2 linked regions of the Mytilus edulis genome follow. The protein of the gene in region 2 purifies or fractionates together with the protein of the main gene of each other region. This does not show direct contact. Links are inferred from orthologs where the notes say so. Each region holds a gene or a part of one and is shown on either strand. Other genes may lie near its edges. The genes, in order: F-BAR domain only protein 2-like and AP-2 complex subunit sigma.

What was found.
Region 1: the proteins of AP-2 complex subunit sigma (region 2) and F-BAR domain only protein 2-like purify together in Homo sapiens (co-immunoprecipitation; 3 studies listed by BioGRID and IntAct, counting the BioPlex papers as one, with this or other methods). This does not show direct contact. The link is inferred for Mytilus edulis from reciprocal best matches to the Homo sapiens genes AP2S1 and FCHO2.

Annotation. Positions count from the first base shown.
Region 1 is NC_092344.1:9,081,727-9,097,705, reverse strand, and holds the start of F-BAR domain only protein 2-like, read right to left. Parts: upstream 6,211-15,979; 5' UTR 6,109-6,210; coding exon 6,082-6,108; intron 2,481-6,081; coding exon 2,389-2,480; intron 1-2,388. UniProt on the Homo sapiens protein: Functions in an early step of clathrin-mediated endocytosis. Has both a membrane binding/bending activity and the ability to recruit proteins essential to the formation of functional clathrin-coated pits.
Region 2 is NC_092346.1:91,457,398-91,473,540, reverse strand, and holds AP-2 complex subunit sigma, read right to left. Parts: upstream 6,615-16,143; 5' UTR 6,508-6,614; coding exon 6,505-6,507; intron 4,670-6,504; coding exon 4,520-4,669; intron 4,024-4,519; coding exon 3,850-4,023; intron 3,079-3,849; coding exon 2,977-3,078; 3' UTR 1,769-2,976; downstream 1-1,768. Other genes in the region: DNA-directed RNA polymerases I and III subunit RPAC1-like, read left to right, coding at 6,688-6,750, 7,758-7,829, 9,202-9,309, 9,872-10,004, 10,543-10,659, 14,020-14,069, 15,331-15,396. UniProt on the Homo sapiens protein: Component of the adaptor protein complex 2 (AP-2). Adaptor protein complexes function in protein transport via transport vesicles in different membrane traffic pathways.

The sequences.
Region 1 (15,979 bases), on a different chromosome or scaffold from region 2:
CTGTCATGACGGTCCCCATGTAGATTTCTTGTTTTTTTGGTAATTGTTATGGGGGTTAAAAATCATATGATGTGGAGCTTATTTTTCATGGACACTGTCAAATTCAGAACCCATTACCGGTATGGCTGATTTGCATCAACAACAAAACGATTCGTACGGGTTATGTAAAAGGTTAAAGAGATTTGTAAAGCAAACGTTGACAAATGAACAGGTTTTTAATGACTTTATCTGGCAAATTGATGCTGTGTAACATGTATCTTTCGAGTCTGAATAGAAACCGGAAACGCGGATGTATCAAATTGATTGTAATATACGAAATGAATTCGGAATTACGATACGATACTTCTTTACAGAAAATATTTAAAGTTTTTACTTTTAAACTTTTAAAGTAATTCTAAATTATTGTTACAGCAGTACTCGAGTTACTTGCGTCTTATTTTGTACTTCTTAAAAAAGGGGGATGCTGATTGCGTAAGTCAAAACAAAGCACGTGTTCGACTTGTTAAACTGTTTTCTTTGCAACTGGATTATTAATTTATTTATTTAATCTAAATTATCATAATCATTTGCTAAAACTTAGTTGATTATTTCGACAAATGAATCGTCTATCCTCAGATAGTATTCTCGTGTCTGGTTTGTTGATCTACCTGTACAAGCTCAGGTACAAGTGATAAGCGATCTTAATCCGTAGATTCCTCAGGCGTTAGAACTGTATTGGATTATAACATAAAAAGCCTAAGGGTTATGCAATTACATGCATTTGATTATAATTGATAAAAAAAATGGCGTCGGGCTACAAAAAACGATGAAGTTTTGAACGATGGCGGAAGACATTTAACGATGGCGCAAGACAATTTAACGATGGCGCGAGTCATTTGACGATGGCGCATGACATTTGAACGATGGCGGGGCGCCATCGTTAAATAGGCCATGGAGATCCCTGATAGTCATGTCTGGCAAATTTCCAATATATATTATCAACTACTATTCTATACAAAGAAAGATAACTCCAATTGAAAATTAATTGCTATTGCACAATATTGTGCAATTAGATATTTCTTGCTATTGTGCAATACTGTGCAATTGAAAATTTCTTGCTATTGCACAATACTTGATATGGAATCCTGATTTGGACCAACTTGAAAACTGGGCCCATAATCAAAAATCAAAGTACATATTTAGATAAAGCATATCAAATAAGCCCAAGAATTTAATTTTTGTTAAAATCAAACTTAGTTTAATTTTGGACCCTTTGGACCTTAATGTAGACCAATTTGAAAACTGGACCAAAAATTAAGAATCTACATACACAGTTAGATTTGGCATATCAAAGAACCCATTTATTCAATTTTTGATGAAATCAAACAAAGTTTAATTTTGGACCCCCATTTGGACCAACTTGAAAACTAGGCCAATAATTAAAAATCTAAGTACATTTTTAAATTCAGCATATCAAAGAACCCCAAGGATTCAATTTCTGTTAAAATCAAACTTAATTTTTTAATTTTTGATGAAATCACACAAAGTTCAATTTTGGACCCTTTGGGCCCCTTATTCATAAACTGTTAGGACCAAAACTCCCAAAATCAAACCCAACCTTCCTTTTATGGTCATAAACCTTGTGTTTAAATTTCATAGATTTCTATTTACTTATACTAAAGTTATGGTGCAAAAACCAAAAATAATGCTTATTTGGGCCCCTTTTTGGCCCCTAATTCATAAACTGTTGTGACCTCAACTCCAAAAATCAATCCCAACCTTCCTTTTGTGGTCATAAACCTTGTGCTAAAATTTCATTGATTTCTATTTACTTATACTAAAGTTATTGTGCGAAAACCAAGAATAATGCTTATTTGGGCCCTTTTTTTGGCCCTTAATTCCTAAACTGTTGGAACCAAAACCCCCAAAATCAATCCCAACCTTCCTTTTGTGGTCATAAACCTTGTGTCAAAATTTCATAGATTTCTATTAACTTAAACTAAAGTTATAGTGCGAAAACCAAGAAAATGCTTATTTGGGCCCTTTTTGGCCCCTAATTCCTAAAATGTTGGGACCAAAACTCCCAAAATCAATACCAACCTTCCTTTTGTGGTCATAAACCTTGTGTTAAAATTTCATAGATTTCCATTCACTTTTACTAAAGTTAGAGTGCGAAAACTAAAAGTATTCGGACGCCGGACGACGACGACGACGACGCCAACGTGATAGCAATATACGACGAAAAATTTTTCAAATTTTGCGGTCGTATAAAAATACCTTTCTCTCAGAAAGTCTATGAAGTCTTTAGAAGTTAAAAATACCTTTCTCTCAGAAAGTCTATGAAGTCTTTAGAAGTTAAAAATACCTTTCTCTCAGAAAGTCTATGAAGTCTTTAGAAGTTAAAAATACCTTTCTCTCAGAAAGTCTATGAAGTCTTTAGAAGCCGTCTGGCCATGTTTCATATTATGATACAGCACATAGAAGCCATTGTTCTTTTCTCCCTAAAAATAAAAAAAATATTGGTTATACTTGACCAAAATGATACAGCATGATACATACTTGCCTTCCCAACTATAATCACATATATATTTCATAATTTATATCTTTTTTTGCCATTTAGTCAACATTGTTTTTTTAAGTACATGTACATGTAGTTTTTTTTTAAAACATCAGGTGTTTTCTGACCTGTTTCAATGTAACTAATTGTTTAAGGATCTAAGGGACGATTTCAATTATTATAAGCAAATTTTCTTTATACAATTTTGGCAAAGAAAAACAAATACAAGAAAATTTCCAGATATCCTAGGAACAACACATGTACAGGAAAAGCGGATTTGTTTTGAGCAATTTTTATAAAACATTTCAAAGATTCCACATCAGCCATTGTCAGCTAAGGCAAATTTATATTTTCAGTCACATTTTGAAATTCCTAAAATATGCATATTTTAGAAATCTTCATTTCAATTGTTGAACCAATTTCCAGTCAATCAAAGCATGATAAATTGTTGTGTTAAGTAGATAAATGCGTTTGGTATAATAATAATAATAAATTCTTTATTTAACGAAGGTAACTCATTTAACATACAATTGTTAATCTCACACAAGGCCTTCACACATTTAAATGAATAATTCATATAGAACAATAATCAATAGATATGTACACAATTACAAATATATATATACACAAGCATGAAAACAGACTGTAGAACTAGCATGGCAAGAATGTCCTAAAAAAGTTTGACTACTCATTTTGTTTTATGATAAAGAGATTAACACATTTCATCTTAAAGCTTTCTATATGCAGTGTTCTAGGATTCCCATTACCCGTTACCCGGGGTAAGTGGATTAGGACAACGGGTAAGTCATTTTTTAGCCTTTGTCACCCGGTGGTAAGTCAATTTTCAAGTTCGGGGAAGCCGAAAAACTCTTGAAATTTCCCGGTCCTCTTCAATTTTCCCATATCTGCTTTTTATTTTTATTAAATCACGAGAAAAAACTTTGATAAAAGATCGAAGATTTTGTCGATGTCTATCGGCGCTTTTATTCAAGCACTCGTTTACTAGGTGTAATCAAGCGCAAAAGAGACCACATTCTTCTCCTATCATTCTAAAAGTCGGTCACGGTGTCGGTAAAATCGAAAAATCCGGATTGATAACTGGTGCTTAAATCGGGACATAAACGATTTTTTTTCTTGTCATCAGAGGAAAATAAACTTACAGTTGCATTTATTATAGCTCTTAATAAATGACATAGTAATAACTATAACATATTTGTCAAATTTAGTAAGAAATCGTTTTTTTTTAATTTTGTACAAAATTCAATCGTATCCGAATCCAGCTTTGTTCAGTAAATTACAATATTCAAAGTTTCATGAGTTTGCATAAGTTTGGATTTACTTCAAAAAGGCTAAACGATATAAATCAAGCATCACCCCCACCAAAAAAGCCCAAACTTGACAAAAAGCAGAGAGACAAACTGTATGATGTTGAAAAAAGGACCAGGGGGTATGCTTTGCCCCGTCCGCATTGGTTGGCGGATTTAACTTTTAGATGTGGGTAAGTAATTTTTTTATTGATCTTACCCGTGGTAAGTCAAGGTGCCAAAAAAATCCTAGAACACTGTATATGTCTTAAATCCTTTAAATCATTTGGGAAATTATTCCAAATGATTAGACCAGAATATTGAAAAGTCTTTTTGAAGTATTCAGACTTTGGCCTTGGTATATGAAGATGTCCAGATGTTGTTGACCTAAGAGAATAACTATATAAATCACTGCACGCAGTAAATTTAATTGTAAGATAATCTGGCGCTAGTCCATTCATACATTTAAACATTAAAGTGGCTTGAAAATATTTTATCCGAGTAAAAATGGTCATCCAATTAAGTTCTTTAAACATTGATATTGATGGATAATCAAAAGGCTTATTCAAAATTAATCTTGCTGTGCGCTTTTGTAGTTTATGAATCAGCTCAATGTTGCAATTTGCGGTAAAACCCCATATCCTGCAACAATAATCAATTATCGGTAATATATAACTATTATAAAAAAGGATAAGACCTTTGCGAGGTAAGTATCGTTTTAATCTTTTTAGCAGGTATAATCTGCTTGAAAATATTTCACATACTTTATCTATGTGAATTGACCATGATAGATTTTTATCAATATGGATACCAAGAAGTTTTTCCACTTCTACATTGTCAAATGCAGTTTGATTTTGTGATAATACACACAAGACATCGTTACAATTCTCAAGTTTTCTCTCAGATTCCATAAGCATACATTTGGACTTCTTGTTATTTATTATCATATTGTTTTTATCACATCATTCAATTAGGTTTTCAAAGTCTTTATTTAAATAAGAGTTTAAGTTTGAAATAGATTTGGACGATAAATGCAAAGTTGTGTCATCGGCATATAATTCAGACTCTGTGTGTTCTAATTCAAACGGGAGATCATTTATATAGATTAAGAATAATAAAGGTCCTAATATGGAACCTTGTGGGACCCCAAATGTTACATTATTGTATCCTGATTCAGTTGTTCCAATTTTAACCTTTTGCAATCTATTTGAGAGATAGGATGAAAACCATTTAACAGAGTGATCATCACATTTATATAAATTCAGTTTCGATAATGAGATGTTATGATTTACAGTGTCAAATGCTTTTTTAAAATCTAGAAATAAAACAGCAGTAAAATTGCCTTTGTCAAATTCTTCTAACCATTTGTCAATTATTTTGATAAGTGCTGTGTGGCATGAATGTTTTTCTCTAAATCCAGATTGTTGTCATTTATAAATTGAGTTTATTCAACGCCTAGCAATTAATATAAGTGATGTCAAAATACATCAGTGTCAGGAAGCAACATTAAAATATATAAAATTGTGCTAAATTCCAGACAAGGTGGAAGTTTTCTGAGTGCATCACTGCATGGTCATATGGACATGCAAGACGTTAATATTGATATATATATAAGTCAATGGATTGGTCTTAAGATAAGAATCTTCATTGGAAGTAAAGGGACAGAATTTGTAGAATAGTAGATTCAGAGTCCAGAGTTACATAATCAATCAACTTGAGTCTTTGTAAACTATGACCCTGAAAAACTCAACATTGGTCTTTACACCTTATCGCCAATTTCTAGACATCACAAAAGTTCCTGTAGAATTTCTACATCATAACAAATGCCTGATGCCACTAAGGAAAAGTGATTGTTTGACATCATAAGATCAAGTGTTGCAGATTTACTTATAGTAATAAGGTTTATTGATTGTATCCTGGTGAATAAATGGAAAGGGAAGTAACTAAAGGTAAAGTCTAAAGAGCTTCAAGGTTATAAATTGTTTCCTTGTCACAGAAATGATACTGATATTATATCAAATATTCAAATGAATGAAATAGTACTTGGGATGCAGAATATGAATATGCATTTGAGGCACAGTGGTAAAATGCAAATATGAACACAAGATAATATAAAACATGATCTAGACAACACCCCCTTTTCAAGTGTCAATTGCATGAAATGGTGTCGCTTTTTCGCAGCTTTTTTCAAGTAAATGTCATCTCATAGTCCGTCTCTGAAAACCTTATTTATTTAAGTACCCAAAAATGATCTGAGAAAGTTGTCATCCTAAATTTTGAAACTGCATCTGGTTTGTTCCATGAAAATGGCGATTATTTTGATTGTTTTGCGTTTGCGCACATCCGTTTTCTTACTCAGATTAGCGCTTTAACCAACGATCTTTTACCTTGCGGGTCTAAGCTTATATGTCGTCAGCTGTCAGTTAAAAATTTCCGGGAAAGTACAAAAAAAACCAAAAAAGGTATAAATGCACATGGCAATTTCTTCTTTACAGCTCAGAAATATTTCGGATTTATTTAAAAAGAGATAAGGCTTCGTACAAAATTGAAGTTATAGATTTTGGTATCCCCATGTGGCCACAATTTGATAACTTTGACAATTTTACACTCACTAATTTACAGTCTTTGAAAGTTTTTGAACACATGCATGAAGTGATGCACAATGAGGGTGGTAAAGGCACAATGAGGGTGGTAAAGGGTAATTTTCGGGCAACGTGTTTTGCCATTTTTATTTCACGTGCAACCGTGAAATAGGTTCGTTATTTGACGTGTTTCGTGAAATCGGTAAAAATCTCAACGTGCTATCTGGCAATTTTATTTCGCAGTCTTCTGTGCAGATACCACCCCTTTACGCCCCTCCACAATCTATGGTCAGATCATATGTTTTCGTACCTCACATGTTTTCGTACTATGCATGCTTTTTCAATGGAAATCGTGACGTCATAATGCATTCCTAATATAATTGAAATGGCAAATTGTATAGTAGATTTAGATTTATACACATCCTTGTTTAGATAAAGAACTTACCCCGAATCATATGCAGTGGAACACTTGACATTTTATGGTTAAGTTCGTCTTTTATATCAGGGATTATCATTTTGGTGTTTTTTGAAAAATTTCATTGCCTAAATCAGTCCATCTTTTTAATTGTCTGAAAGAAAGTGTACATTTTATCGTCGTGCACCAACTACCCATTAAGACCCTCTTATTCTGTTATTGACAATATTAACGTCATTTGACAAGAATTTTTACCTTTATTCCTCTTACAGGTACCCCCATTAAAACCCTCTCATTGGCAATATTTAATTGCACAAAGTCATGTAGGTACAAGACGATTAAAAAATAAATATATGTTGACTAGTGACTGAATTCACTTAAAAGATCATCAACTTGCTTCTTCCAAAAAAAATACTGTTCATATAGGACAAGAATCCCATATGGCACCCAAACAGTAAACTAAACTAAAGTAACATAATAATGTATTACATGTATTACAGTTAATTTCTGTGGGGGTGCCAGATAGTTGAGGGTAAAAAAAAAATCATAAATGGTTGGTTGAACTCCCTTGTACTGTACACTATGTGGTAAATGTAGAACTCTGAGCATTCATATTCATAAAAAAAAACACCATCTTGTAGAAGACAACCGATTTATTCACACTGGGTGCAGGGGTGGATCCAGCTATTTCAAAAAGGGAGTATTTTTGCCCCTGGACCCCCCTTCTGGATCTTCTACTGTGGTTGTATCATACAGACATTACAAAGTTCACATACAATAGAAAACACATGGCATACACTTAAACAATTCACACCATTTCAGCTATCCTGTTCATCGCAAACAGTCTTATCCAAACCCTATCTCTCAACATCAAGATATGGTGAACAAAGTTAATACTGTATTGGGTAATCACAGACATGTTAATAAAGTCAGAGTCACAACAACTGTTTGAAAGATCAATATTTTTGTCATTAAAATGAACCAAAATTAAAGATTTTAGGCCAAGAATTTAAAAAGTTCTGGTTAAAAAGTTGAAATAAGTTCAAAATGGTCAAAGTCAGATTGACAGCTAGGTTGTATTTATAAAATATACTTGTAATTACTAAATACTTATAGTTTAGTGATTTACTAATAGTATATTTTTTTCCCTTCATAAATTTAAGTTGACTGGAAGAATTGCATCAACCACCTCTACAAATAACTGTTATTTATCAAGATTATGGAAAAACTATGTTATTTTATATTTATTGACAGTATTTATTCCTGTATGTAAACAATAGTTTGCAGAAGATATGAAGAGAGTGGCGGATCCAGGAATTTTCTTAAGTGGGGGCCCACTGACTGCCTAAGAGGGGGCCTGCTCCAGTTACGCTTCAGTGATTCCCTATATAAGCAACCAATTTTTTTCCCAAAAAGGGAGACCCGGGCCCCCCCTAAATCCGCCTCTGAAGAGTACTCTAAATAATCTTGTAAATTAATTTTGATTTATAACCCTTGTAACAACTCCATATTCCATCCATCATACATGTAAACACCATTTATTATTATAATGGCATATGTAACTCCTTTTCCTGTAATTTTCATGTTCTGACAGCACATGTAGAATTTTTCCTGCAAGGTGCAATCACTAAATATATATTGTCCTTTCTATCAATAGGAAGTCACAGAAATGATAATATATAATTAGTGATTGCACCTTGCAGGATAAAAATCTACATACATGTTGTCAGAACATGAAAATTACAACAGCATTCCAGTCTGCACCAAACTGTTTTTAGGGTTTGCCTGACCGAAAAAGAAATTTGACGTTTTTCTTCTATATACATGATATATTCAACTAAAAATTTTGAAAATTTCTGTCTGACCGAATGATCTTTTGTCGAATAGACAGAGTTTGGGATACACGGGCATTCATTGACAGTAAACTACATATCAATCTCTTTATGTCATTCGCATCGAATTTGAACTATTCCTAATTATCTGTACTAGGTTTTTCTCCAAGTCCTATTGTAGTATTATCCTCAGACGCAATATAACATGCATTTCACTTTAAAAAAAAATTACAATTTCATCATATAAGAAAAACTCTATATAGTGATATTATAATCCCATCTACTGGCCTAGAATGCATGTTTCTTTTGATTTCTGTTATATAGATTTTATTTTTAATGTGAGACTTAAGGTTTGTTTGTGTGGTGCATTAAGAAAGTCAGTATATTACTTCCATTTCTGACTTTAATAGTGATCTTTTATAACTAATGAGAAAATTTAGTGTAATTAGCAGGGGCGGATGCAGGAATTTTCGAAAGGGGGGTGCTAACCCAGGGCAAAGGGGGGGTGCAGGGGGGGTGCAAAACATATGTCCCGATACAAATGCATTGATCGGCAAAAATAAAGGGGGGGTGCGCACCCCCGGAACCCCCCCCTGGATCCGCCACTGATTATATATAGTAAACAACTTTTTGTTTTAAACAAAGAGATCCCAACCACATGAATGATGTATGCATTGAATAATATTAATAAAATATGTACAAAAAAAAACATGTATTTGGGACTAAACAACTTTTTTTGTAAAACCAGTCAAGTAAAATATTGATTTTTTTGTACATCAGACTGTATTGAATACTTTTAAATATCAACAAAAATATCACATTTCCTGATTTAATGAAAATTGATAATATTAATTACATTAGTTGATACACTTATTTATTTAATCTGATATCTGATGTTGTGGACTCTAATGTATTTCCTGTTTTTTTAAGTTATGGATTGTAATCTCTAGTCACTGCAGTCATATTTTAAGGTCTGGACTTCTACACCATTTATTGACACTTGTAAATTTCAAATCAATAAAGCGTCTTTGTAAAAAAATAATAAATATGACTGTGTGTATAAAGTATATTGCAAGATACTCCAAAAATGTCAGTTATATTAATGTCTGAAATTAAGATGTTCAAACTGGAGAAGAGAATAATTATTCATGACATATAGTAAGTCTGATATTTGACTATTTGTCTTCGTCATTCATGACCAGATCGGTCAAGTATTAAATTAAGCAAAAATTACCCTTTCTTGACCCTTCCTACAGACAGTAGATGCATCATACTGTCAGAACTATTGATTTGTGTAAACAGCAAAGTCTTACCTCTTCACTAAATGATGTTAGTGAGCAAAAGCCTGAAATACTGAAAAAAAACCCAGATAGAGTAAAAAAGTGAGTGGAATATAAACTAAATGTTTTTTTAATGAGGAATACTGTTACGTGAAAAGGATAAACAGCATCAACAACATACATGTATTTATTCATAGTAAGAAGTGAGTACTTAGTAGAGACATCCGGACTTGCAACCTGATTTACACTTTTCATAAGTATCTGATGTAAAATGCATTTGTAATCATGGTAATAGGTGATTGACCATGATTCAAATTGGATTATCTCCCATTTATTTACGGGAACAAAAATAAGAAATAACTTAACATTGTGAAAGCATTTTATGTGAGGTAGGTTAGACACTTAAATAAGAAATAAGTTATGTTGTAAGTTGGGACATCTCTAGTAATAGAAACTATAATAAGAACAGGATGTGTATATTTAGAGAGATAGATTGATACATATAATTGCGGATATTACAATGAGTAGGAAAAACGTTAATATGAACAGGACGCTGACTTTTCTTAGATAAATATTTTGGATGACAATTTTAAAACAGCAATTGAATTTTTTTTTGTCTGTTTACCACACTGTCATGACTGTCCGGAAATTATTTTTCATTTTAATATAGAATAAAATATTGTTGTGTCATAACTTTGCATTTATTTTTATGTAATATGATCTTTAGACTTAAATTATACAATCCTAACTATAAATACTTATAACATTAGACCAAGACTGTACTTATGTGTTTAAAATATGCATATTATTGTCTTGAAAGTGTTCCATTACATGTATTTAGATTAAAATAAAGTAATTACATGTACTTAATATTTTAAAACAATCAAAATAACCTTGTAATAATGGGAACTTGCGTTTATTTTTATTCAGCATTTTACAAGATTTATAAGTACTGTATTTTTCAAACTACATGTAGTCTTGAAAGATAGATAAAATAAATGATATTAATTGTGAAACAATGCAGTTTGAGCTACTTTAATCCTAATTTAGATATTCTGACCTAAACTTTATAAAATAAAAGGACAGCTACTTAGGTAAAGTTTATGATACTTATAACTTCAATTATGACTAATTTTAAGAAAATCCCTTTGATCTACATGCACTACTAGTTAATTTTCCATCAGGCTATTTCAGATGTGTTTTCTTAGATGTACATGTAGAAAGAGAATGTGAAGACATCATGAACAATATGTCATTGACACCGTCACTAACATTAACTTATTGACAATGTCTAGGAAAATAGCAGATTATTTATGTTTTTGAAACTTGGTACATTACAATGTATATCTGATCCTTATCTTGTAGAAAAAAAACCATCAGTAATCTATTTATATAATGCATTTCCAATACATATATGATAATTGAAAAATTACAAATGACAATGGCCAAATGACAATACATCTATTTGTTTTGCTGTCATCTGACCCTTCTGTGTATTTTTTTTTTTGCATATACTTTTACTTTACATGAGATGTCAGCCTTGAACTAGAAAAAAATACATATCCCGTACATTGTATATTGATCTGTTTTATCATACTTATTGTATTAATTATCTTAAGGAAGATATCTTATTAATAACAAGATAATGTTATATTACAGGTTAAGTGACATAGTTGGATGGTTACCCAAGTTTTTGAACTTTGTGATGTGACACAATGATAGCATACAGCTGATAAAGTTTTCTGATGATACCATGCCAAATATTTACTATAGACTTATTGATATATTCATAAAGCCTTCAGATCCTGTATGGATTATAATTGAAAATATTTAAATCGGGTAAGGAATATCAATATTGTTTTTAAATTTAATACTTACTATTACATTTATATATGTAATGCAAAAAGTGCATATTTGTCACGCTAAGCACATATGTATGATTAATTTGACGGATAGCTTTAACTTTGAAGTGTTTATTTTTGTGGAAGGTGTTGTTTTCTCTATTTTCATAAAAAATTTTAAAGCTGTAAACGATTGCATTATTAAAACGTTTTAAAGTGTAATATAAATTCAGGAGAGATTGATTATTTAATGGATTAATGCATATGTATTTTAAAGTGTCAAGTTTGTTCAGGAGTTTACTAGGTAAGACCACAAGCTAAGCAGTTGTCCTACAATTAGTTGTAACAGACTGATAACAACCTTGGCATCATCATTATCTGTTTGGCCACATTCATGTTATTCTTAATCTCAGCTGTACAGACTACACTGATAGATTATGGGGAACCTGATAGGAGGGTGCCCCCCCTTTAATTACATGATAATGCAATGTATATCATACCATTTCAAGTATTGCAAGATCTTTTTCCCATGATTTCTTCTTATATAGAAAAAAAACATTTACAATCGTAATTTTGAAAATTTTATGCATGCAAAATATTTTGTACAATATCATTATTCTTTAATTCATTGAATTCTTGTAATTTTATAATGTGATTGAAATGTGCCTTGCCTTTTATCCAGTGAAGGTATGCAGTAGTACAAATTACATAGACCAAAACAGATCCATGTGCTATGAGTGAACATGTGTCTGCCTATAATTAGATTGTCAATCATATGTTATTACTAACTTTCATAAGGTCGTGCGCCATTCGCACATTTTGACCAGATCTTATTTCTTGTACCTGTATTTATTAAACAAATATTGTCATCTTAATTGATTCCAAATTATATGAATGTTACACTGTGGATACATTATAATCTAGTGGGATACCATTTTTCAATGATTTCGTGGGTACAGGATTATTTCAATGTTCCACAAAACTTTTCCTTAGGCATGTATGCAGACTTAGGCATAACCCTGAAATCAAATATCAACAAAAATATTATTCCCCACAATCCACATTAATTGCATTGGTACCCACGAAAATAAAAGAATGTTATTTGCGTTTTCTTTTTGTTGTTTAAAAACCTATAATTTTAAATTTAACAGTTCAATAAAATTTTGTACGGTCAATATATATTTATAAACAGAGACCTATAATACAAGTATAAATGGATAATACTATGTATTATATGTATGATAAAGATAAATAATCAATGTACTATAGTCTGTGTTTTGATTAAACATCTGTTTGATATTCAAATAAGAAAATCACATTGTACTTTTTATTTGTTTTCATATAATCATAATGTGTTAGCGCTTTTACATACTCCCACTGAAGGAAAAGATTTAATTCAATTTAAAAAGCTGAAGACTGCAAGTGGATATATTAAAATACATAATTTAAGATTTTAAAACTGATGACAAAGTTTATATACATTGAATATTTTATGAATATTTTACTGCATAGTGCTATTCAGTGATAGGATTTGTGATGAATTAATTCAAGTGACCTTTAGTCATTAAATGAAGTAATATCAATCCTACAAGACACTTCAATTTTCAAAAGGTAGAGAATTTTTGTTTTTTTATTGCCTTCATTAAGTCAATACTGCATGCACATCAACAATTTCTCAGGAATAAATTATGCTACACTTCATATAATTATACCCCTGCTTTGAAAAAAAAGGGGGGTATACTGTTTTACCTCTGTCTGTCCTTCCGTCAGTCCGTCCGTCCCATGAATATTTTTCGTCACATTTTTCTCAGGAACTACACTACCAGGATTTCTGAAATTTGGTTTCAGGCTTGACATAAGTCAGCTATACCGTGTGATGCGTTTTCAGATTCATCACTCAACAACTTCCTGTTTACCGAACACTTGTTTGATTTTACACATGATAGCCAAGTTGAAAATTTTTCGTCACATTTTTCTCAAGAACAACAATACAAGGATTCTGAGATTGGTTTAAGGGTTAATATAAGTCAGCTATACTTTGTGATGCGTTTTCAGATTCATCACTCGACAACTTCCTGTTTACCGAACACTTGCATATTTTTACACAATTAATATTATCCACTTGCGGCGGGGGTATCATCAGTGAGCAGTAGCTCGCAGTTTCACTTGTTTGATGAGCCTTGGACAGACTAACCATACCCAGTAAGATGTTGGTCATATATTTGATATATTTTTTGTTTAGTGATTTTTGAAAATTTATCTTACCTCATGATTGGTATAATTGTTTATTACTGAGTATATATATCTACATATGTAACTTTCTATGTTGTGATGTAACAGTATTATTATTTCAGGTTAGGGTGAAGGTTGGCACCTATTAAAATGTTTAAACCCGCTGCATTTGTTTGCACCTGTCCTAAGTCAGGAACCTGTTGTTCAGTTGTTGTCATTTGTTGTCTTGATTCATAAGTGTTTCTTGGTCTTGTTTTTTGTGGAGCCTGCAACTTTTGTTGCAAAAGTAAGGCACAGCAATCTTACATTTCGTCGTCATCACTCCGAAAATGTACTTCAGCAAAAGTAGGCGAGACATTAGGTTCCACAGAACCCTTACAATTTTTTTTTATGTATGAGACCTTGGTTTTCCTGTTTTCTTGTTTTTTCACCAGTCATTTTGGGGACTTTTATAGTATGCTGTTTGCTGTGAGCCAAACCTACGTGTTGAAGGCCGTACTTTGACCTATAAAGGTTTACTTTTATAGTATGCTGTTTGCTGTGAGCCAAGCCTACGTGTTGAAGGCCGTACTCTGACCTATAATGGTTTACTTTTACATGTATGCTGTTTGCTGTGAGCCAAGCCTACGTGTTGAAGGCCGTACTTTTACCTATAAAGGTTTACTTTTACATGTATGACTTGGAGAGAGAGTTGTCTCATTGGCACTCATACCACCTCTCCTTAAATCTATAAAGGATCTGCCTGTAAAATCATTCCTATGTGTTGCCTTGTATCACTCTTTTGGTTTCTTGATCCTGAACCAATTATATGGCAAAGGGTAAAATCTTGGCCTGATAGAATCCTTGGATTTGTTTAGTTCACTCCAATAGTTAAGTCCAATCCAATCAGGGTTGTACACTTTGCCCAATTATCATGATTATATAGATATGGGGTACTCTAAATTATTGAAATCTAGAAATTTTAAATTTAAGGCTTTAGAGGCTATAAATTGAAGATTTATCTTTAGAGATATCAAGTGTTTAGGTTGGACAGTTTGATATATATTAACAGATAGGCTTCTAAGTAAGAACGAAATTTATTGATTCATTTTATATATAATATTTCCTAGTCTATACTGGCAATCCTTACTTTTTTAAATTTTAAAATAATAATAAAAATATAGGTCACTGATGAGTTAAAAACGATATTTCAATTTAATGCCAAAAAATGGCATTTTTGCACCAAAGGGAGATAGTTCGGAGCTTTTTCAATGATATAAACATTTTAAAAGTAATTTTTTGGTTGATTTTTGTACCATATCATAAAGTACTAATAGTGTAATAAATAAAATTTGTAATGAAAAAACAAATGTTTAGGTTTTTGCTGAAATTTGTGTACCTGCGAGCTCCTTTAACTATTTTCAATAACATATTTAGATAGGTTTGGATGAATCTAAATGATAATTGTACTTATATGTCTTATATGTATGCAAAAAATGGCTTATATAACACAATTGAGCATCGTTTGTTAACATTCCTTGTAATGATTTTTGGTTTCACAAGCATGTATTTTCCTGTAAAATGCTTAAATTCTGATGTCATTGTTCTATGACGTCAGGTAGTTCATTAATAAAAAAGCATATGACATGGTAGTACGATCGGAACAACCCAAACAATATATTTATATTCATGTACTCAGGATGTCATGTTAGAATAATGTGATATTTAGATTATTACAGTCTTGCCCGAGAAATAACAAAATCTGGACCCTAATTTTGTCTGAACATTTTATATGTCATAGTTTAAGTAGTCACATAGATATATTACAATACAATGAAAAGGTTAAAAAGTTTTATCACCAACCAATCGTTCAATAAAATCCTATGTACAAATATTTATGAGACTGAGTAACAATGTTAAATAGTATTCCATTCCTTACAAGATATTTTTAATCTTTAACAAGATTTTAAAAGCATAT
Region 2 (16,143 bases):
CAAAATTGTGTTTTGATGATGGTGATGTGTTTGAAGTTCTTACTTTACTGAACGTTCTTGCTACTTACAATTATCTCTATCTATAATGAACTTTGCCCGTTAGTAACAGAGGAAATTATTTTGTAAAAATTTACAAAAATTTACCAAACTAATGAATATTTTAAAAATTGACTATAAAGGGCAATAAGGGGTGAACTGACCATTTTTATCATGTCGACTTATTTGTAGATCTTATTTTGCTGAACATTATTGCTGTTTACAGTTTATCTCTATCTATAATAGTATTCAAGATAATAACCAAAAATGGCAAGATTTATTTAAAAATTACCAAATGGGGGGCAGCAACCCAACAACCGGTTGTTCAATTCATCTGAAAAATTCAGTGCAGATAGATATTGACTTGAAAAAAAAGTTAACACCTAGTCAGATTTGCTCTAAATGCTTTGGTTTCAGAGTTATAAGCCAAAATCTACATTTTACCCCTATGTTCTATTTTTAGCCATGGCGGCCATCTTGGTTGGCTGGCTGGGTCACCGCACACATTTTTTTAAGTAGATGGCCCTATGATGATTGTAGCCAAGTTTGGTAAAATTTGGCCCTGTAGTTTCAGAGGAGAAGATTTGTAAAAGACTACAAAAATTTAGGAAAAATTGGTAAAAAATTACTATAAAGGGCAATAACTCCTTAAGAGCTCAAATGATTTTGGTCATTTGACTTATTTGTAGATCTAACTTTGCTGATAATTATTGTTGTTTACAGTTTATCTCTATCTATAATAGTATTCAGATAACCAAAAACAACAAAGCAACCCAACAACCAGACGCCAATTCATCTGAAATTTTCAGGGCAGATAACTTTTGACTTGACAAACAATTCAACCACTTGTCAGATTTGCTCTAAATGCTTTGGTTTCAGAGTTATAAGCCAAAATCTACATTTTACCCCTGTGTTCTATTTTAAGCCATGGCAGCCATCTTGATTGGTTTGCTGGGTCATCTAACATATTTTTTAAACTAGATATCCTAATAATGATTGTGGCAAAGTTTGGTTAAATTTGACCCAGTAGTTTCAGAGAAGAAGATTTTTGTAAAAGATAACTAAAATTTACGAAAAATTGGTAAAACATTACTATAAAGGGCAATAACTCCTTCAGAGGTCAAATAACCACTTTGGTCGATTGACTTATTTGTAGATCTTACTTTGCTGAACAATATTGCTGATTACAGTTTATCTATAATAGTATTCAAGATAATAACCAATAAAAACAACAAAATTTCTTTAAAATTACCAATTCAGGGGCAGCAACCCAACAACCTGTTGTCCGATTCAACATTTTACCCCTATGTTCTATTTCTAGCCATGGCGGCCATTTTTGGTGGGTGGCAGGGTCACCAGACACATTTTTTAAACAAGATACCCTAGTGATGATTGTGACTAAGTTTGGTTAAATTTGGCCCAGTAGTTTCAGAGGAGAAGATGTTTGTTAAAAAAAAAAAAAGTTAACGACGACGGACACCAAGTGAATAGAAAAGCTCACCTGGCCATTTGGGCCAGGTGAGCTAAAAATGTGGAAAACTAATTTGACTGACCAAGACTGACAGACAGACGGACCGAGTGCAAACCTAAAGTCCTTTTCGTATTGTTGGTAGGGGACTTATAACACAATGAAGCCAATCTCATTTTTAGACTGTAACAGTGGATATGTCCTAAATCAACCTGATCAGAATATGTTAACAATATCAAATAAATGCATAAAACAAACGATATATATATGTATACATACTTTATTTCCAGAATGTACATTGCACATTGCCAATTATATGGTATTATTTATAATGCTGCCGTTATGACAATAAACCATTGCAGCAAATACCAGTAACAAAAAAATGGTATTTCACCTTTGTTATCATAAATATAAGAACAGTTTTGTACCTCTAATTTATATTTGATATATCAATACTCATTAAAATAAAGAATAAATGAGTATTTAACATTGATAGTGTTTCCTGTATATAGAGATTTATGAGGGGGGATAGGACCATTATTGGGACTCTGGGGTCAGGTGTTTTTAAACTTATTCCGGGATTGACTCTTTAGGAATCAGAGGAATACTTTTTTCGAAATTTTGGGATGACAGGATTAAAATTTATTTAAATTCGGGACCTCTGGATTTCATGTTTTTGAAGCCCAGGATTTTGGGATCAGGACCCTTCCTACACCTCCTCATCTATGCAACTGATCCAGAGGCCTCTTCAGTTTCATTAGGGTCTTACCAAAATGCTATTATAATAATTTTTCTTAGCTGCAATTAGATTTTGTATATCTAAATTTCCTTCCCTTTCTGATAGGTATATATATATAAGTACGTCTGAGTCAGTGACAACTCTACACGATATCTCAGTAGCATGGGTTCAAATCCCGGCGAGGGATGATAAAAAAATTTGCAAAAGCAAATTAACCGATCTAACATTGTTGGGTTGATGTTTAGACGAGTTGTATATATATATATATATATGTAGTTCTCCAGTAACCATGAAACACGAAAACATGCTGGAGGATGCAATAATATCATGTATTTACATTAACAATAACTAGGTGAATTTGGAATGTATCATTCATATGAACAATATCTATTAACGTTCTCATTATTTTCATGTCTCAACAAAACAACATTTTGATAATATAATGATAACTTTTATATAATACAACGAAATAAAAAAAGTTCTACACTTTCCACTCTAATCACTTCTAGCTTTTTTCTGTTTTTTTTAGGCAAAAATCACCTTGCAATCAGATACTGTCCTCAGAAACATTACTTGTTGTTTTACATATGGATTATGACATCTTTATCTAAATAGCCAATTATTGTAACATTTCTGTTAAAAATAACCAACAAAGTTCATAGTAATAAAATCATACACAATAAATGACATCTGTCTACAACACTTTGGTCTATTAAGTCCTATAACATAGTATTTACTCTAATGATGATAACATAAGAAGTTGTTTTAAAACTTTTGTTTGACTTGTCTCTCGAATTTCTCCTGCTAAAAACATCTCATCCACTACACTGTAAACCTAAAAATAAAACAAAATAAATATAACTGAAGATCGAAGTTTCCCATTAAATAAACTGTTGACACAAAGATATGTCTTGTCTGTCAGCAGAAAATTCAGGAATAATCTTATAGATAGCTACAATCTTATTAAATCAAAGCTGCAGGACCATGACCTAGGACAGGGCCTCAATATGGTTGACAAACTGGGATTTTAAAACATTTAAACTGCAGCATTTGTTTGCACCTGTCCTAAGTCAGGAACCTGTTGTTCAGTGGTTGTCGTTTGTTGATATGGTTCATAAGTTTTTCTCCTTTCTTGCTTTTTGTTGTTGGTTTTTTTTTCTTCTTTTTTTTCTATAAAGATATGATAGATTAGAACATTTGTTTTCCTGATTTCACTGTACAGACCCTTATAAATTGTATGAAAACCATAGAAACCAATTACTTAAAATGTTGAGGCTCAACAAAGAGGACACATAATATAGAAAATAAATAGTTAAAACTTCTTAATGGAAATTCTGTAATTGCATGACTTGTTCTGTCAGTTACAACATCATGAATTTTATAAGATTGATAGATTGATTGTTGGTCTTTAATATCACTTACAGCACACTTGGCTAAGTCATGGTGACAAGCTTTATTGGTTGAGGAAGCCGGGACCCAAGAGAAAACCACCAACTTCAAAAGGAATACTGTCATTCATATATCTATTAAGATCCTTTTATTCAACTTGTATAATTATGAACACAAAATAAAGGTTTTATGTTGAGACACAATATAAATACTTTACCTTATAAAAGTTGAATACAAGATCTAATTCACAGACATTATGGAAATATTCATTAAGCACTTCTACAAAATTGTGTATTGCCTCTAAGTATGCAAGATTGTTGTCGTTTACATCAACACAGATACAGAAATATAAACCAGCATATCTTCTGTACACAATCTTAAAATTCCTAAACTGCAAAAAAAATTACATATTATTATACACAGGTATATCTATTACAAATAACCCTTTAAAATACAAAAAAAAAACAATCTTTGGATTGCTTGAACATAAACTACAGGTAAGCATTCATTATTTTGTACATTCATTTTGGCCTTTAGTTTTCTTCTTTAATTTTTTTTACATTTGTCATTTCAGGGTCTTTTATGGCTGACTTCCCAGTATGGGCAATCAATGTTGAATAGTCATGATAGTTGTTAATTTCTGTGTCATTTAGTAACTTGTGGTGATGTTTTTCATGTATTTCAACTGGTAATAAGTGCTAAGTTTCAAGTTGATGTTTCAGCATTTTTAAGATACACCACTTGAAACTTACTGTGTCCATTGTTTTTCAAGAATTATATTGCATCACACTGATCTTTTAGTACAAGAGACCCTTCAAAAATAATTGTTTGTTTATTCATATGATGGGTATTGTACATGTGCTAGTATCACACAGCATACAATGTACCTCTACAAAATTAGTGTGTTTAGCATCACGGACAGTAACAACAGCATGCACTTCTTCAATTAGTTTCTGTTTTTCATCATCATCAAAGTGCATATACCACTTAGCCAGACGCGTTTTGCCAGCCCGGTTCTGTATCAGGATAAAACGAATCTAGAAAAAATGTATTGTAAATTTACAGTTAATACCATAAAGTTAAATAGCAGCAAAAGTTTAATATAATAGCTTCATTAAATTACTTGAGCAGACTGCTGGACATTGGTCAACATCCTGGTGTTATTTTTCACAAGACCAGTAAAGATAAAAGTATCTTATGAACCTTTGAAGTGGAAGTCAGATGTCATAGATTCCCTGTGCCTTTGTGAAATTGCCTCTTGAATAATTCAGAATACACATAACTCTAAAATACAGCTTCAAAATATATAGGTACATACATGTACATGTAACATGTCCTTTTAATATGTTAAATTTCAGCAATCGTCAAAATGGTGTGCATAATTGATGATTTTTTCAAGTGGTGGACATAACTTGAAAGTGGTCTATCCAACCAGTAAATGTGCGACATGAATTTGGTGTAACAGACCCAAGGCTCAATTAGCGCACATGTAGGGTCTGAATGTGTTTGTAAGTGAACAGACAGATACCAATTTAAGGTAGCACAATACAAAGATTTTTTCACTCCCAATCAGACAACTTTAAACTGATGTAATTCATTTCATCCTTCTTTATATTTTATAAATGAAGTACCAAAAGAAAGAAGAAAGATCAATCTTTCAAATTGTGATAATTTCATTATGACATAACTATTACATAATTAATTATTATGTAATTAGTCGCTATATTTTGATGTCCACACTTGAATGAATTTAGCGTCTTTGTTTTTCATAGCATCCCAAAATATTTTATAGATTCTTGTACAACACAGCTTGACCTCCAAAACTGTGTCTCAGATTTCCAAAATCATCAATAGAACAAATTTTATACTCAATTGAACTAAGTGGTCTCTAATGAATTGATGTTGCAAACTTCATTGAAGATTTATGAGAGAATGAAATACAATAGGAAAAATCTGAGACACAGTTTTGGAGGTCAAACTGTGTTGTGCAAGAATCTATAATTTTTTTTAGGATGCTATGAAGATATGTCTTAATGAAATTATCACAATTTGAAAGAATAATCCTTCTTCTTTCTTTTGGTACCTCATTTATAACATTTAAAGAAAGATGAGTGGAATTACATCAGTTTAAAGATGTCTGATTGGGGATGAAAAATCTTTGTATTGTGCTACCTTTTATGCACTAACATAACTTACTTAACCCTTTTGCTGCCAGATGTTTTTCAGGGTTGCATTCATATGCCAGAAAATATGACCGCTCGACAATGTGACATGCCAAACAATGATGTCATTTGATATATGATGTCATGCTGTAATGACCGTTACATTTGAGAGTCATTGTAGAAACATATTACACTTTTTAAGTTTCAGTCTTTTATTTTGAAAGAGGTACAGTAATGATGAGAAGCTAGCATAAGTTAAAACATGGACATATGTGTCCCTCCAGCACAGTCGGTGTGGACACATGTGTCCCCCCGGCAGCAAGAGGGTTAAAACTGTGTGCGCCTGTCAGACAGAAGTAGCCCGGGCAACAGAAGTTAGAACTTTATTCTTTCAGACTTTCTGCAGAAAGTAACGACTCCCGTTTTTTTTAAGAAGAAGCAGAGGAAAAGCATCAATAGGCCAAGAACTCCCACAAAATATTAAATTCCACCACTCAGAAATTGTATTGTAAGTTATACATTCAAATTTTTTTAGCATTGCTGTCAAAAGTGACAGTGTCAACAACACTCAGATCAAAATGTGGATCTCAACTCCGAATACACCTAGCACTATTGCAAGTTATTATCAACTGAGAAAGTGTTACGGCCAAATAATGTGTGTTCAATCATGAATAAATGCCTTAAAATATAATAAAAAGAGGCTGTGTTACCATTTCTGAATAATTTCGTATACCGGAAATGATTAACCTCCCACATTCAACGTCAGGAGAACGTTTTGCACCAAGGAGTTTTACGTTGCTTCAAAGCGTTCAGATGATCTTTATAAAGGAGGACCAGCACATGGAGCTGTTTACAAACATGCATGTAGCTTAGAAAAAATACCCAAGTCTGACATGACAGACCTAATAGATGACGTCAGGAGGAAAGTTACTCTACGGGAGCATGCTGTAGAAAATGTATGTTTTTTCAGCATTTATATGGAACTAGTATACTATAGTAAAGGTTGTAAGCTTCTGGTTAATTTTGAGTCTTATAATTTCTGTATAAAAAGAGGAAAAGATACATGTCCTGATCCTGTTCCTAAAGCTTATAATATATGTTGAAACAATAGACCACTTTCGAGTTCATCCGTCACTGGATAAAACTCGTCAATTATACGTGTCTTTATGAGGTCATTTACCAGATATAATAATCTGATAGAGGGGTCGCCTGTATCCCTGCACTATTCACGTTCATCTAGTCCGAGATTACTCTGAGGTCCAACGGCTGTTTTGTCAGACAAGCTGGGGCCGTGGGACGTCAGAGCTCGTCCCATATCAAAAAGTGGATATTTGCCCACCCAAAATAGATGCGCTGCTTCGTCGCTTCTGGTGCCGACTGACGGCCTTGGAATTAAATAAATCAGGCATCAATCTGTTCATTTTTCATTTATCTTTTCATTTATGTAAGTTTCACCTACCTGCCAACTTTTATTTTTCCATATTTTAACAGTTTTCACAGAGACCCATCGATTTTTCCATTTGCCTTTCATTTTCAAAGATTATCACGTGACTACGAGAAAACAGTGATGATTTATGCAAATGACCATAATTTGTTGAATAAATGGTGTATTTGGAATTAAAATTCGCTATATACATTGTACACAAGTCATAATCACACCTGAACTTTGTCATTATACAGGGAATAACACTATGAAATTCAATCATCGGCCAAAAAATATATAACTACAAGTAGTCTCTGGTTGTAGTAAGAAAACCAGGACAGGTTCAAACAAAGATTTTGAAAGCAGAGAAAACTGTGTGCACCTTTATAATCAGCATGACTTTATCAAATGAGTTAATGACCATATGAATACTCAAAATAAATTCAGTCACAGACCTGATAGGTTGTGGGTGTGTAATTTATGTTAAGATACTTATTCTAAATATGTAATAAAAACATAACTCATGAATTATATTTGTAGACACATAGCTCTGACTTTCCTGGAAATTATGAAGATTATGATGACTCTTGGAGTCAGAAAAAATTTGAAAAGGTAAGATTTGTATAGGTTACTGTCCGGCCTTCAACAATAATTGAAACCCACACCTCATAGTCAGCTATAAAAAGCCTCAAAATGACTAATGTAATGCAATTCCAAAGAGACAACTTACTGCCTGATTTATTTACAAAATAATAATGAAATACAAATATGATATTTAGCAAAAAACATCAACCACTTAATTACAGTTTGGGACAGGCACATACAATGTGGCAGTTAAAGTTGAACTAGTTTTAAGGCGCCAACCCACCACTAAACTTGGACAGTGGAATAACAGTACACCGTAAAATTAAAAACAAGCAACAAATATAAGTTGCAAAGTATTTAAAAAAAAAAAGAAGTAAATTATAGTAAAGCAAAGACATTAAACTAATGAAACAATGCATTTTACATGTACAGTCAAACCTGATTAAACCGGACCCTGAATAAACCGGCTTCCTGTACATTCCGGCCGAAAATGAAAGTCCCATTTTTTTTCCTTCAAAGTCTTTGTTAAAATACCCTTTGTAAACCGGACCCTGTGTATTCCGAATTCCGGTCTAATTATGAAGTCCCAATACTCTTAATTACATTAATTATTACCTGTCAAAACCGGTTTGTCTAATTAATTTCACTGATCGATATGCAATCAAAACATAATTGTTTACTTTATACAATATGACTTTTCAGGATAATTAATCAATTAGTCAGGTGTTAAACTGTGAAGTGAACTTTCAATCGTACAGTAGTGAGCTGTATTATTTATTAAAACATTATAAACGTGTCAATTAAACGACAAGACACACCGAATATATCTCGGATTTAACTTACGTTTTGTAACGTTAACTTGGATAAACAAATTTAAATCGCAGCATAAGAAATTTACAACGTGATGTCGAAACCCTGGGTTCCCTGCTGTGAACCCCTAAACAAATGACCTTGATAATGAAAACCACCCAGATGACAACAATCAATGGGTATAGTAAACTGTACGACAACGTTTCAATAGTGATGAGATTACGTTTGATAATATTCTGGCTTTTTGATCGGCCATTCCAACATTTCAAATAAATGATCATGGAAGTAAATCGAAACTCTCGTCTCACAATCCAAACAACGCGAGCATTAGGATGCAAATGTAAACAATGGAAAACGAAGTGAAAATATTTTAATTGATCAGATATTCTTAACTATCAAAGAGAACTTTTATATGCAAACTATCGGACGTCACAAGTCATTAACTTCCGGTCGATACGGAAACCTGAATAAACCGGCTCACTGCCCAAACCGGCCCTTTTTCATAGTCCCGTAGCCGGCCGGTTTATACAGGTTTTACTGTAGTTTGTTAGAACAAGGTTATAGTTGTAAACCAATTATACTTTTTTAGAAGTTCAGAATTGATATGGTAAAGATGAGCCATGATGAACTTGAATTTGATATGGTAGGAGTAGATGCTTCTATAGCCAATGCATTTAGAAGGATTCTTCTTTCAGAAGTAAGTAAAAAATAGCAGGTTACAAACTCACACTAGTAATGCTTCTATAGCCAATGCATTTAGAAGGATTCTTCTTTCAGAAGTAAGTAAAATATAGCAAGTTACACCCAAACTCACACTTGTGTAGACACGTTAGGAGTTATGCTTCTACAGCCAATGTATTTAGAAGGATTCTTCTTTCAGAAGTAAGTAAAAAATAGCAGGTTAAACCCTAAATCTCACTAGTGATGCCTCTTTAGCCAATGCATTTAGAAGGATTCTTCTTTCAGAAGTAAGTAATAAATAGCAGGTTAAACCCCAAATCTCACTAGTGATGCCTCTTTAGCCAAAGCATTTAGAATTAATCAAACAAAGCATGTTTCAATTAAATTGACTTTATTTAAAATCAGTAAATAAACAACATAAACACAAGCTCTGGTGGTCTAGTTGACTAAGTATATTAAATCACACAAAAATTCAAACAAGTGTTTTCTCATATTCTTGCTATTAGTCAGATCTTTTAAGTGATACATGTTAAAAGATGTTTGTAATGGATTGACACTACTATTATTTATTATTTAAGGTACCCACAATGGCCATAGAAAAAGTGTTTATTTACAATAATACCTCTATAATACAAGATGAAGTATTAGCACACAGACTGGGATTGATACCTATTAAAGCTGATCCAAGACTGTTTGAATATCGACAGGAAGGTATTCATAAGAATTAAGGATTTCATACAGATGTACTTTAAGACTGATTTCATTTTTTTCAACACAGATTTTTAAGATCAACCATCTTGTAAATCATAAATTACACAGAGTTGAAATGAAATGATACTGGTATTTTCAACAATAAAATAAAGACAGACACCAGCAAAGCATTAACACTTTTAAAATAGAAGCTATGGGAATGAAATAAAAAAGAACATAATTTGTTTTACTTTTGCTGAAAAAATATTAATCAAAATTAGCACAGATAAGGTCTTTTTTATGTTTATATATTTTGTACAGAAACAACAAATTATTATTTGACGATTCTTGGTGTAAAACATTCCCATCCTTTATAATTGTGATATGTTTGATTTTATGGTTGTGCCTTAAAATCAGACCGGCAGATATGGATATGGGGTTTTTCAATCAATAGGTAGTAAATAAAAGTATTCAGGACTTATAGCCAAATAAAGCCCTCAACACATTAGCAGTAACACCTAGTTACATTTATCTCTGAAATAATAATTTACCTTTTTAGGTGATACAGAGGGAACCGCTGGTGATACTTTAGAATTTCAGTTGAAGGTCAAATGTACAAAGTGTTTGAAGGTTGCAGACACAACAGATCCTGATGATCTGTATAAAGACCACAAAGGTATATTGATTTCTGGATTTTAATTATTTCACAAAGTTCGGACAAGAATTGGAAATAATTGTTTATTGAACCAAGAAAAATAGTCCAAATTCATACTTAGGTTTTTCACATCAGAAATCCATGTCCTTTAAAAATTCTGGTAAATCCCCCAAAAACTTTGAGTCACTTGATATCTCATAACAATTGATCCACACTTATTTGAAGTAACTAGATTTTTTTGGCACAATTATACCATGCATTTAATGATGTAACAAAGAAAATACAGAATGAAACAGGAAAGGATGTATTAAAAGAGTAAAAACATACATAGTAAGTTAAAGAAATAAAAATTCCAACAATTCATCTTCAGTGTCATCATGGTCATATATTTTTCTTTTCAAAATAAATAAGCAATACTGGTTTTTGGAAAATGACGCAGTCATTGTTCCATAACTGCCGACCTGAACTTCATTACATTGCTCTGCCTACCGCGCTTGGTTTCGTATTTCCTATTTTCCAAACAAACTGGAATCTGCTTGTGTTATCAATATGCATCATTGTGTAGTATTAAACCAGCCAGGACCCAGTTTACACTGGTTTTTGCTTGTATTCCACTACACTCGAACAAAGTGTTGTAGTTTGACGGGAACCAGTTTTAGAATTTGTAAACTACAAACCGTAATCGGTTATTGTTCATTCCGTTTTGGTGTTTCATACCGACTTATATGGTTTGAATAAGCTTAAGACCATTCAAACATTAATGTGATAGGTATATTAAAGATTGTTTTACAAAAGGATTGAACTGTTTTACTTTCAAAGTCGTACTATAGGGATATCTGTCATATACGGATTTCCACTCTCACCGGTTAATTTCTTCTTTTACACGTGCTTTGGAAACTTCCTGTTTAATCGCAAGTTTTAAAATTGTTTTTGAGTGAATTAAACTTATTTTAACAATCATGAAGCGTTCCAGAATCATTTTAAAGCAGTTTCTTCTTCTCTTTGATGATGGAAAATAGGTTTTCTCAAGAAAATACCGCAAACGATCGCAGAGGAATTGAAACGTACAAGTCAAGTCGGCACCTGGTTAAATTGGCATCTAGTCAAATCGGCACCTATTCGACGTCAATTCGGCATCCAATAATATTTGATATAATATTTTCTATTCAATTAATTAATTACTGTTACCAAGTACATAGTGAATATGTTGTTGTGTATTTTGGTAAACCACGAAACGAAAGTGAATATGTAGTGTATAAAGGTAAACAACGAAGCCCTTACCAAAGCTGTTGTTTTAACAATTAGACAATTTGTGTAATTGTAAAAACAAGTCAATTATTAAAATAAAATGGAAAACTATGAGTCCCTTTCAATAAATCAAACTTTCATGCCAAATAATTAGCAAATTTAAGGTGTTTGTTTTTCAGTAAAGTTTAAACAGCATTAAACCAACAATCCTGTAAAATGCTCAACTGGTTAAAATAATGCAGAAAAATACACAATATCTCATGTATTAGTCCAAATAATTATGACGACTGGCAAGGCTATTTTATTATTTTTCTGGGACGCCTTCCTACGACGTTCAGGTGCCAATTTAACTAGGTGCCAGTTTGACTAGAATTCTTTGACAAATGTTTGAAACTATCTGAGTTTCATTAGACCTTTGATAGCAGTAACAAAAAGATTATTTACTTAATATTTTGTGGGAGAAGGGGGTTCAGACTGTGTGGCATCAGGTCTGTTTGTGCCCAATACATTTTCGCACCCTACACATTCGCACATTCACACTCTACTCATTCACGCTCAATTTTAATTCAAATTCTAGTTGAATAATTGGAAATTTATGGTTGTTGTTTTAAATTGCTTTGGTGTAAATACTGAATGTATTTATAGCTTGGTATGAGTAAAACATTGAAGATTTTAAAGGAAAAAACACAAAAGATAATTGTTTTTAACAGCTTGGTCCCATTGATCTGAAACAACGAAACAATAAAACATAGAAACCAAAATATAGCAATCCACTAATATAACCAAAACATGATAAAATTTATTCAACACGCAGAAACAAACATAGTCAGAATCTCACTTCATTTTGAAACAAGTCAATGAAACAAGTTATAGCAATACACTAACCAAAACATGATTAAGAGTTATTCAACACAAAATAAAACGTTGACAAAATACCACTTTATTTAGAAAGGATTATTATTATTTTTAGCAATACCTTATCCAAAACATAATTAAGATTTATTCAACACAAAAAAAAAATTGCTGTCTCACTTTATTTTGAGACAATGACAACAATTATACTTATAAGAAAACACTTGCTTACATAGTTATTAAACACAAAACCAATTAAGATTGGGTGCGAACATTTAGGGTGTGAAAGTGAAAGGGGTGAAAATGAGTGGGCGCAAACGTGAATGGAAGCGAACGGACTCAGATTCAGACTATGTACCAGTGAGAAATATACAAGCCTTTCTACGGTATTTATTTGTACAATTCAGCTAGTCTTGACCTATTCATTTGTCTTAAAAAACCAGCCAGTTGTCACCTTCACTTCACACACACACACATATACGAATATCAATTATATGCTTACGATACATGTTGCATTGTTAAACTAATTACGGTATGTGAAAATCAAGACTTGCATAAAAACTATCCCAATATTAGAGACAGTGGCGTCATTTTTCTTCAGAGCTTTCAGCTCTTTGATTATAACTTACAAATTGAAAGTGCAAAAGCAGGTCTAGTAACAGCTGTAGTCTGTTGGTCTGTTCGTTTGAAAAACCTTTGGTAGAAGACTTTTGTCAAATTATCCTAAATTTCTATGAAAGGGAATTATTTTATATTTGTTCTGCAGATTTATACTAGTAAACCATTTCTACATACAGACATTTCCTATTCGTAGGTAGTTTAAAAGTTTACAGCACTCATTGTCTTGATATTTAAATATCTTTAAGATCTTTATTTCCCTGCAACTCTCTGAATTTACCAATGTGATTGCCTGAAAATTAAACCATGTCTGAAAAGGTTATTAATATTTACAAAAACAATATTTCGTACAGACTGTTTGGAGAGAATGTTGAAATTTACCAAACTATTATCCTCATAACAATAGAGAAAAATGTTATTCCCACTATATAATTCACGGAGAAAACATATCCGGAGTCCAATAATGTTGTTTTTTTTTTTTTTATATTAAGCCTCAGATCGTAAAATTTATAGATTAGTTGCAAGTGAAGAAATTCCGTTTCTCAACAATAGAATTTTTATAGAATGAGAAATATTATATCCACTAGCTACATGTACATAAATTATTGTATTATGACTGGTTATTTTCCAAAAATCTTATAATTGCTGTTTATGATATTCCAGTGACAACAAAACATCTGAAGTGGGTTCCAATAGGAAATCAAGCTGAAATTGTAAGTTTTTTCATTACTTAAAATCCTCTTTAAGGGGGTTCGCGGGTCTAAATCATTTATATAGGATTTCTCTATATTTTTCTATAAATGAACTTTATCTTATAGTTAATAGAAAAATACAATAAAAAAGTGGGGTCACCGTTCATTTGCGCTCACAATCTGCCTTCGAAAGAAGCATGGGCAAATGAACGGTGACCCCATTTTCTTATTTTATTTTTCTATTAACTATAAGATAAAGTTCATTTATAGAAAAATATAGAGAAATCCTATATAAATGATTTAGACCCACGAACCACCTTAAGTATAAGATTTTAAGTGCTTGTAAAAATTCAGCACAGTACTTCAAGTAAACTTATCTTGGTAAAAAGTTACTCAGTTGGAAGTTGTGTATTTGGCCACATGTTGTATTTTAAGAATGAGTATACTCTGGTTTATTATATTTAATATTGAAAGTATTATATTTTTGAATAAAAAAACATGATTTAAACATCTTTTTGATAAATTATTTAAAAAATTGAGTTATCTCCCCTTGAATAGCTGAGTTGAAAAAATAATTGTATTCTGGGCTATTCCAGAAAAAAATGTATGGGGGGGGGGGTGTTGGAAGGCACATTGTATTAATAATACATGGGTGATGGGTATCGGAGCAACTTTTCACACTATAATGCACTATAATTCTCAATTACAATTGTCTGGGTGGCAGGTGCTGACAAAAACTGCCTTCCAACCCAACCCCCACCCATACATTTTTTTCTGGAATAGCCCTCATTCACAGTGTTCTATCTATCATAATTAGGAATTTTTTAATAATTAGCTTAAGCTACATTTTTATCATGCTTTTTTTACAAATAAAATAAAATGTATGGGTCAGAGAATATTTTCAAGATGCCGGTTGTACAAAATTGATTGGTACATTGAAAACCATTTTGGGTGACAGAAAAGGGGGGAAAATCTTCTCTAAAAATGAAAATAAAAATTGAGGCAACAGGACTATTTTCTTGCTTAGTTTTAAAACATTGCTGTAAGGATTCATCAGGTAATAGTGTAGCAGCTTCTGACAGCAACTTCTTAGCTAAACCAAATAAAACTTGAATCAACTGACTACTGTGTCTATCTTAACATATTAATGGTACTACCAAATTCATTGGAAAACACAGTTATTTTACTTATTATGATTGTGCTAATATCATGTATATATGCTTGTAGAGAAATGCAACTATTTGTAATATATAGATATCAATGCATTCATTCTTTGTTTTAGTTCAAAGAAGGAGAAATCAGGCCAGTCCATGATGACATTTTAATAGCAAAGTTAAGACCAGGGCAGGTAAGCATTATACCTATAGCTATGAAGCATAGATTTTGGAACCAACTTCCTCTAAAATCAAATGAGTTTCAAATTTATTGAATTTTCTGAACTAAACGTAGAAGTGAAACATGGATATATATATATCTGCAATGAAGTACAGAAATAAAAAAATTCACAACCACAACCCACAAATATCCTCTTTTTCATAGCCAAGTTTTATTTGAAACTATCAAAGAAAAACTTTGTTACCATCCAGAAAAACAATTTTTCCAAAAGTTTCTATTTTAAAAAACAGTGGCCTTGAAGTTTTCTTACAATTCAATATGAGTGAAAGAAGATGTAGATCCTATAGGTCAATGAGATAGGAACCTGATGACAAAAATAATCGAAAGACAGTTTATTTTATTTTATTGGCAAAATGTACAGCTAACCTTACCAAAGACTTCTGGCTTACTTACCAAAGTCTTAAAGCCTATTTGTCTATTCAAATACAATTGAGAATGGAAACTGGTAATGTGTGAAAGAGACAACAACCCGACCAAAGAGCAGGCAAACACAGCAAGGAAATCCTGGGAGGCCGGCTTCAGCTAGCCCCTAAACAAGAATGGGTACTAACTCAACAAAAATGAATGTCCCACTAAACTCTGAAACATATAAATGCACCAAAATTTAAAAAAAAAAACAGACTTACCAAGGCCAGATGCTCCAGGGACAGGCACAAAACTGCTGCAGGGTTAAAAATGTTTGTGAGATCTCAACTAAGCT